2 linked regions of the Bombyx mori genome follow. The protein of the gene in region 1 interacts with the protein of each later gene in a pairwise test. Links are inferred from orthologs where the notes say so. Each region holds a gene or a part of one and is shown in the gene's direction. Other genes may lie near its edges.

The links.
Region 2: the proteins of protein expanded (region 1) and HPO interact in a two-hybrid assay, tested with the Drosophila melanogaster proteins (2 studies listed by BioGRID). The link is inferred for Bombyx mori from reciprocal best matches to the Drosophila melanogaster genes ex and hpo.

What each region holds. Positions count from the first base shown.
Region 1 is NC_085118.1:7,034,190-7,038,678, forward strand, and holds the start of protein expanded, read left to right. Parts: upstream 1-1,643; 5' UTR 1,644-1,777; intron 1,778-4,489. UniProt on the Drosophila melanogaster protein: Activates the Hippo/SWH (Sav/Wts/Hpo) signaling pathway, a signaling pathway that plays a pivotal role in organ size control and tumor suppression by restricting proliferation and promoting apoptosis.
Region 2 is NC_085111.1:717,258-721,081, forward strand, and holds part of HPO (serine-threonine kinase-like protein), read left to right. Parts: intron 1-684; coding exon 685-843; intron 844-2,406; coding exon 2,407-2,634; intron 2,635-3,156; coding exon 3,157-3,365; intron 3,366-3,440; coding exon 3,441-3,550; intron 3,551-3,824. UniProt on the Drosophila melanogaster protein: Plays a key role in the Hippo/SWH (Sav/Wts/Hpo) signaling pathway, a signaling pathway that plays a pivotal role in organ size control and tumor suppression by restricting proliferation and promoting apoptosis.

The sequences.
Region 1 (4,489 bases):
CTTTATTTCATTTGAGACATTAATCAATTGGGTAACCAAGATATGGAATGCTCTCTGCACTTTCATAGATACTTAACAGTTAATAAACCACCGCTATTATACATTGAAATCTGTAGAAACACTAAATTAACAAAATAAAACAATTCCCATAACTTGGCGCTTCGCGTTCCGGCCAAATGTCGCTGCGGATTTGGTTAATTTACTCACGGAACCCTTCATCTCAAGCGACGAGTTCGATAAAAACGGTGACCAGTGCTTGAGTTACCAAAAAGCGCCGTTAGTGGATCGGGAGGATCCGAAATGACGTGAGTAAACTAACTGGGAATCCATCCAAACATTCAATACTTATATCAAAATCGGTCCAACAGTACATTGCAAATTGTTCCGCACAATGCAGCGTTTGCGGAAATGCGGAATTGCATCTTAACATTATTTTTTACTAATGAATCGTAGTCACGCTCCGGGTTTAATAAATATGAAATGTATCCAATTGTATGAAAATATAAATTACTACCGCACTGTGTGATATTCTGATGTCTATACTATTAAACTGTGAAGTTTGATCAAAACCTAATAGTTTTTCTTTGAAAGAGTAAAAATCTCCATCTATTCTCACAAATTTTCGGATTTTACAATTTGAAAAATAATCAAGTACTAGATATTGTTGTCATATAATTAAACATGTAAGGCTTTATTTAAATAGCATGAATTGCCTAATAAAGTTTCAAGATATGAAGCGATTCAAGTTATAATTGGTAATAAAAGAGCATACTCGGCAAGGAGGTTCCCAATCCTGATGGCTATGATTATCAAGTGAGGGCTGTGGATGTCTTTCCTCTATTAAAGGACACGTTTAAGCACGTGGTAGACAAATTGTGACCCGCAGTTTTTAAATATGGATATGTTAATGCGACGTGCTATCATGGTACATATAATAGTATTCTCGGCTGTTTTCCCTTTCATTACACGCACCACCAGCAGTCACACCTTCCGCTTTGAAGGCTACAGCATTCATCATATAAATTAATTGATATTTCAAGCTCATGTACTACTGTATTACCCTTGTATTACTGGAGGTGGGATCTCTTGCGAGTCCGCACGGGAGTTACTACCGCCCTGCCTATTTCTGCCGTGAAGCAGTAATGCGTTTCGGTTTGAAGGGTGGGGAAGCCGTTGTAACTATACTAACCTTAGAACTTGTATCTCAAGGTGGGTGGCGGCATTTACGTTGTAGATGTCTATGGGCTCCGCTTCGGCCGTGAGGTTTCTCAGCCACTTACATAATAAAATTAAATTGAAAAGACATTTAGAGTGCGTTTGTACGTACGTTTGTATAAAACTTAATTTGAAATAAAAGCTACATACCTAAACTGAAAATATAAATTTGCATCTTTAAATAAATATTAAATAGGCAAAGACGAAACAGCTCAGCACCTTTTTATTCTCTATATAAAGTATATTTAGCTTTAGTCAACCATCAATTTAAAAAAAAAAGAAATATAATAAGTTTTAAAGAAAACACTAACAGAACAAAAAATGTAATGTCATAAATAGAATGAATCTAAATCTTGAGGAGTCACTGACTAATTTGGTTATGGTCGAATATCGAACTCACACACGAACATATAAATATAACATAATATGTAGATATATGTATTTACTACTTAGCTTCATAAAACATTTCGTGATTGTCACAACGAAACGTGGCTAGCTTTCAAAACTACTTCACTTATAAAGTTGAGTGCAAAACAAATTTTAGTTTACCTTAATAACACAGGTAAGATATTCGTCATTATTTAAGGATTAACTCTCTACAAATACTTTAGATTGTATATAAATATAATTAGTATTTCTCCAGTACAGCCGCTGAAAGAATGCGTTCGTAATCGAACCGATGTAACTTTAAAGTGGGTTTGTTTTTACGATTGTAATTTTACTATTGTTGATTTGCCCTATTAAACTCGTCATTTAAAAATTCATCTTTATTAAAAAAATACGTTAAGTTGATCATTATTTCAGCCGCCGGATTTTAAGTCAGCATTTTGCCTATGTAGAAATATAATTTAAATAGGAGCTCGAGCATTCCACATGTAAAAAACGACCCCTCGCTGACATCAAGCTAGCATCTCGTCTTAACTCTCAAGCCGTACACTACGCGGTACTAGAGTACGGACTCCTGTGTTCAATAGAACCGCTCAGGTCCGAGAAGTTGGGGCCTCGCCGCAAGGCGAGTGTTTTCAAGACCCGGGGCCGCCCCACCTGGGTACTCAGCGATCATGGACGCTGTATTCGCGGAATTCCTCCGACTTCGCCACCCACAGCTCGCCTCGGAGTTTTTGGCCTTCAAGGCCAATCACACTGCGAGCCCTCTCGAGGACTCCGCCGCGCTCGCTGCTCCTGCGTCGCCTGTACCTGCGTGCAGAGCTTCTGCATTGAGCACCGCAGCCTCTGTCGTGCCTGCCGCTCCCGTGTCGCCTATACTGGCGAGAAAAGCTGCTGCGTCGTCCGCCGTGACCATCGTTTCAGCTGAGCGATCATCCGCGGCCTCCGTCGCGCCCTCTAAAACACCTACACTTGCTCGTAGGTCGCCTGCACCCGCCTCCTCGTGCTCCGACTCTGACTCGGACATGGAGGTCGACCTCGCCCCCGCCTCATCGACGGATGGATTCACCCTGGTACAGAAGGGTAAGAAGCGTGCCGCGGAGTCTCGAGCTCCCGCGGCCGCTAAAATTAGCAAAGCCGTGAACGCGTCGCGCCCCCGCCCTCAGACTCCCGTTGCGCCCCCAGCCCGTGCCACTCCGTCGCCGCGTCCGGTGGCACAAAATAAAACCCAGACCCCTCCCCCGGTTATCCTTCAGGAGAAGGCAGCTTGGGATCGAGTTTGCCTGGCCCTTAAGGCCAAAAATATAAATTTCACGAATGCCCGTAACCTCGCGAACGGCATTCAAATTAAGGTTCAAACACCCGACGACCATAGGGCCCTCTCTTCTTACCTCCGTAAGGAGCGTATAAGTTTCCATACGTATACGCTCCAGGAGGAGCGCGAACTCCGCGTTGTAATACGCGGAATCCCTAAAGAGTTAGATGTAGAGCTCGTAAAAGCCGACCTGTTAGAACAAGGCCTACCAGTGAATTCTGTGCACCGTATGCACACCGGTCGCGGTAGGGAGCCATATAATATGGTTCTAGTCGCTCTCCAGCCTACCCCCGAGGGTAAGAAAATCTTTAACACACAGACCGTCTGTAGGCTCTCTGGTATCGCTGTCGAAGCCCCCCATAAAAAAGGCACTCCTAGCCAGTGCCATAACTGTCAATTGTACGGGCACTCTTCCCGTAACTGTCACGCGCGCCCCCGATGTGTTAAGTGTTTGGGCGATCACGCCACGGCCCTCTGCGCTCGCGACCAAAAAACCGCGACGGAACCGCCTAGCTGCGTCCTGTGTCGAACACAGGGTCACCCCGCGAATTACCGTGGTTGCCCCCGAGCCCCTAAAATAAATCGCCGCGTCGCCCGCCAAAACCGCCTCCGAGCTTCCGGCCCAGACATCAAAGCCTCGGCACCCTCTGCGTCGCAGGCTAAGCCAGCGTTCGTTCCGGCGGCGGTGCCCAGTGTCTCGGCCTGGGCAAAACCGCTGCCGTACACGAACACGGCTACAACTCCCTCCTCCGCGATTCGTCCCGCCCCCGCGACTCGTCCCTCTCCCGCGACTTGCCCTCCGACCGCGTCCGACAATCTCGCTTTAGCGATCGACTTCTTTCAGTCGATCAACTTTGAGCGCGTTAACGCTTTGGGCGACGCCATTCGCGCTGCCTCCACTGCACAACACTTTATCGCCGTTGTGCAGGAATACGCCGACGTATACGCGTCATTAAATACGTACGTCCTCCCCTCACTCCGCCGGTAATCAATGGCGTATATAAGTAGAATAAAGCCCCTATCCGTAACGATAGGATTTTTTAACGCTTACGGTCTCGCAAATCAACGTGATCAGGTTTCTGACTTTTTGCGTGACCACCAAATTGATATCTTTTTAGTGCAGGAGACCCTACTTAAGCCCGCGCGCCATGACCCTAAAATCGCGAACTATAACATGGTCAGGAACGACAGGCTCTCTGCCCGTGGTGGTGGTACCGTCATTTACTATAGAAGAGCCCTGCATTGCGTCCCGCTCGATCCTCCCGCGCTCGCTAATATCGAAGCATCAGTGTGCCGAATCTCACTGACGGGACACGCGCCGATCGTTATCGCGTCCGTTTATCTTCCACCGGATAAGATCGTTCTAAGCAGTGATATCGAGGCGCTGCTCGGTATGGGGAGCTCTGTCATTCTGGCGGGCGACTTAAATTGTAAACACATCAGGTGGAACTCACACACCACAACCCCGAATGGCAGGCGGCTTGACGCGTTAGTCGATGATCTCGCCTTCGATATCGTCGCGCCGCTAACCCCGACTCACTACCCGCTAAATATCGCGCATCGCCCGGATAT
Region 2 (3,824 bases), on another chromosome or scaffold:
GAAGTTTACGTCGTAGGCAATACGAACTTACGGTCCACTGCGCAGTGAGGCGGTCACCGACTCTCAGGGACATTAGCAATCAAGGGGCAAGCGAAGCCGCTACCTACGCCGATTATAAATTATCGGTAATAAAGTACTCGTAACCCACGTGGACTCATCCCGCTTAGACAATCTGCGAACTTCACATGTGTTCTATGTTGTGCATAGTTTAGTATTTAAGAACGAGCCGATGTCACCAATGTTACCGTCACCGTCCTCGTCAAACCCGTCGATTGCGACGAAGGGCTCGACGAGCGAATTAACTCATAGACACAGCCCACTGAGTTTTTCGCCGGATCTTCTCAGTGGGTCGCGTTTCCGATCCGGTTGTAGATTCTGCCAAACACTGCTCTTGCTAGAATCAGTGTTAGCATCACTTCGGTTTGAGCCCCGTGAGCTCTCCTACTAGTTAAGGTTACGCTGAAATAGCCTCTCAAGGCTATCAGCATAGATAGGAAAAAGAAAACAGTGTTAACGATGGTGATTTGTTTTTTTTGGCTATGACCATATTTTTTGGCAATGCGTCCCAAGCACTCCAATCAGACAGCCCGACAATAGATTTACTGAATAATGATGCAATTTAAATAATTTTTGCACCGCGCTTACTTAGTGCAGTGTGCCTTACTCTACGTTTTTAAATTGCAGGCGTTACACAAAGAAAGCGGACAAGTGCTTGCTATAAAGCAGGTACCTGTGGATACAGACCTGCAGGAGATCATAAAGGAGATATCAATAATGCAGCAGTGCGACAGTCCTTACGTCGTCAAGTATTACGGGAGCTACTTCAAAAATACCGATCTGTGGGTAAGAAATGGGGTCTTTGTCTTCTTCTATGCCCTTGTTCCATTAGGTGGTCTCGGCTACCGGCGAGTTGTCTGACGCGAACTAATCAGGTATTGTGACTACTACTACAGTAGTGGGTGGAAGTGATCTAGGTTTCATATCCGATTAAGTGTATGTGCTTAGTGTTGTTTCTGTGTGAGAAATAAATAGTTAGCGCAAATTTCAACCCAATATTTTGGCAAATAAAACCTCAATGCTCTCGACCGTTGCTGCGAACCTGAGTTACTCCTAATTCCGTAAATAACAAATGCATTCTTAATCAAAAAGGGGATGGCCCATTTTAGGCCCAAAGCGGACAATAGATTATAGAAAAAATACTTAGTGCATTAATTTTGTCATAAATAAATATGCATTTACTTTCTTGCAAATAAGCGCCACTACAGTTTACAATAAGTAGTTTAAAAAAAGTAACTCTATTGAAAAAACAAGGATTTTTATTTTTGCGGGAAAAATATTGCCAGCTTCAAAACCTTTTACGTATGAAGTAAATATTTTGAGTATATAAATAAAACATATAAATAAATCATTTTAAGTATTATCATTAATCAAACGATTTTAATGGATTTTATGCACATAAAATAACATCGAAGACATACCCATTGGACTTTAACTTGTAACTATACTTGAGACCTTAGAACTTATATCTCAAGGTGGGTGGCGCATTTATGTTGTAGATGTATGTGGGCTCGAGTAACCACTTAGCAACACCAGGGTGGCTGTGAGCTCACCCACCCATCTAAGCAATAAAAAAAACTTTACTAGTATTGTTATTTAAATATGTACAACTAAAACAAAAACATAAAAAATAATGTGTACTCGTAAAATAAAGATTAAGATATAAATCAATTATCGGTTATTTAAAAAAATAATCGATATATGAATTTCATGTAATTATTTTTCTTTATACTGACAACACTGAATTTAATCTGACTGACTGATACTTCGCTTGCTGCTTGTGTGTGGTGTTGTGCTTGCGTACAAAATGGATGTGTTTTGATTTTTCTTCGATTTATTTTACTTTTATCAATAACGTTTCATACTACGACTAAAAAACATTGTGTGAATTGTGGTTTTACCCTGACCGAGATTTAAAACCGTGTATATGCTCTCCTTTGCTATTTTTAGATGATACTAATTGTGTATGAAGATGAAGAAAATATAGATATTTAAAGAATTAAGTGTGTTTTTATACCCTATTGGGTAAAAATACATTAGGAACATCTTAAACATTAAGAAAAGAAAAGTTCTTGAAGTATCTCACAATCCGACACTTATTTATATAGAAAATTAACCTCAAAACGAGTTTTTATTTTTATTATATTTTTTATAATAGTGGCCTCAATTTCAATATATTTTTTAGATATCCAATACATTTAAGAATTTGAATCAGTACATTTTTAAAGTAATATTTGATGTCCATCTTGGGCCTAGCACACTATGGAGAGTGGGCAATCCCCTTTTCGTCCTGGCAATGAAAATTCGGATACATTATTATATTGACATGGTGTCTTTTGTAACTTACAGATCGTGATGGAGTACTGCGGGGCGGGCTCGGTGTCGGACATAATGCGGCTGCGCAAGAAGACTCTGTCGGAAGACGAGATAGCGACCATCCTCTGCGACACGCTCAAGGGCCTGGAGTATCTGCACCGGCGGAGGAAGATCCACCGGGACATCAAGGCCGGGAACATCCTCTTGAACACCGAGGGACACGCCAAACTGGCGGACTTCGGGGTCGCCGGGCAGCTGACCGTGAGTTCTTTTTTTTATTGCTTAGATGGGTGCACGAGCTCACAACCCATCTAGTGTTAAGTGGTTACTGGAGCCCATAGACATCTACAACGTAAATGCGCCATCCATCTTGAGATATAAGGTTCTAAGGTCTCAAGTATAGTTATAACGGCTGGCCCACCCTTCAAATGGTGGTACCCACCTGCGCGGACTCACAAGAAGTCACCAGTAATTATGCAAATTATAATTTTGCGGGTTTGATTTTTATTACACGTTCCTATTCCTTCACCGTGGAAGTCAATCGTGAACGTTTGTTGAGTACGTATTTCATTAGAAAAATTAGTACCCGCCTGGGATTCGAACACCGGTGCATCGCTCAACACGAATGCACCGGACGTCTTACTCTTTAGGCCACGACGACTTCGTCCAAACCTTTGAACTTTGGACTCTTACTGACCCTCGAACGTATAATCGTCGTAGGCACGATGTAATGCAACCCTTAGTACAATATGATGGACATGTACACGACTTCCCCATTCTCAGGACACGATGGCGAAGCGCAACACGGTTATCGGCACCCCGTTTTGGATGGCGCCCGAGGTCATTCAGGAGATCGGGTACGACTGCGTGGCCGACATCTGGTCCCTGGGCATCACCGCTCTGGAGATGGCGGAGGGCAAGCCGCCCTACGGAGACATACATCCCATGAGGGCCATCTTCATGATACCCACCAAGCCGCCGCCTTCCTTCAGGTACGCAGTCCGCGCCGAGCCTGCCACTCCACTAGCTCCACACGAGCTGGCTTCATTCTGAACGTTTGGTTGCAGGGAGCCGGACCAGTGGTCGTCAGAGTTCATAGACTTCGTTAGTCAGTGCCTCATCAAGAACCCTGAAGACAGAGCCACAGCAGAGTTTCTATTGGCTCATGAGTTTATAGGTAAGTATAGTGTCTCTTGTGTCGCGCCGGGCCGGGCGCCCTACGGCCACTATTTGGAACTAATACAATGAGTGGGAATTTCTCTAGGACAATACGCGTGTCGTAGGGGGTACGCTCATAAATATATAATCAGAGACAATCCTCACGTGGTCATTGTCCCCGAGCGGAGATCCCCCGTACAGTGGGAACTGGAACACAAATATGTTACATACTTTTAAACATTATACATTTTAACCATCCAAATACTTGTGTGAAGTTGGGAAGCTTCCTCAGC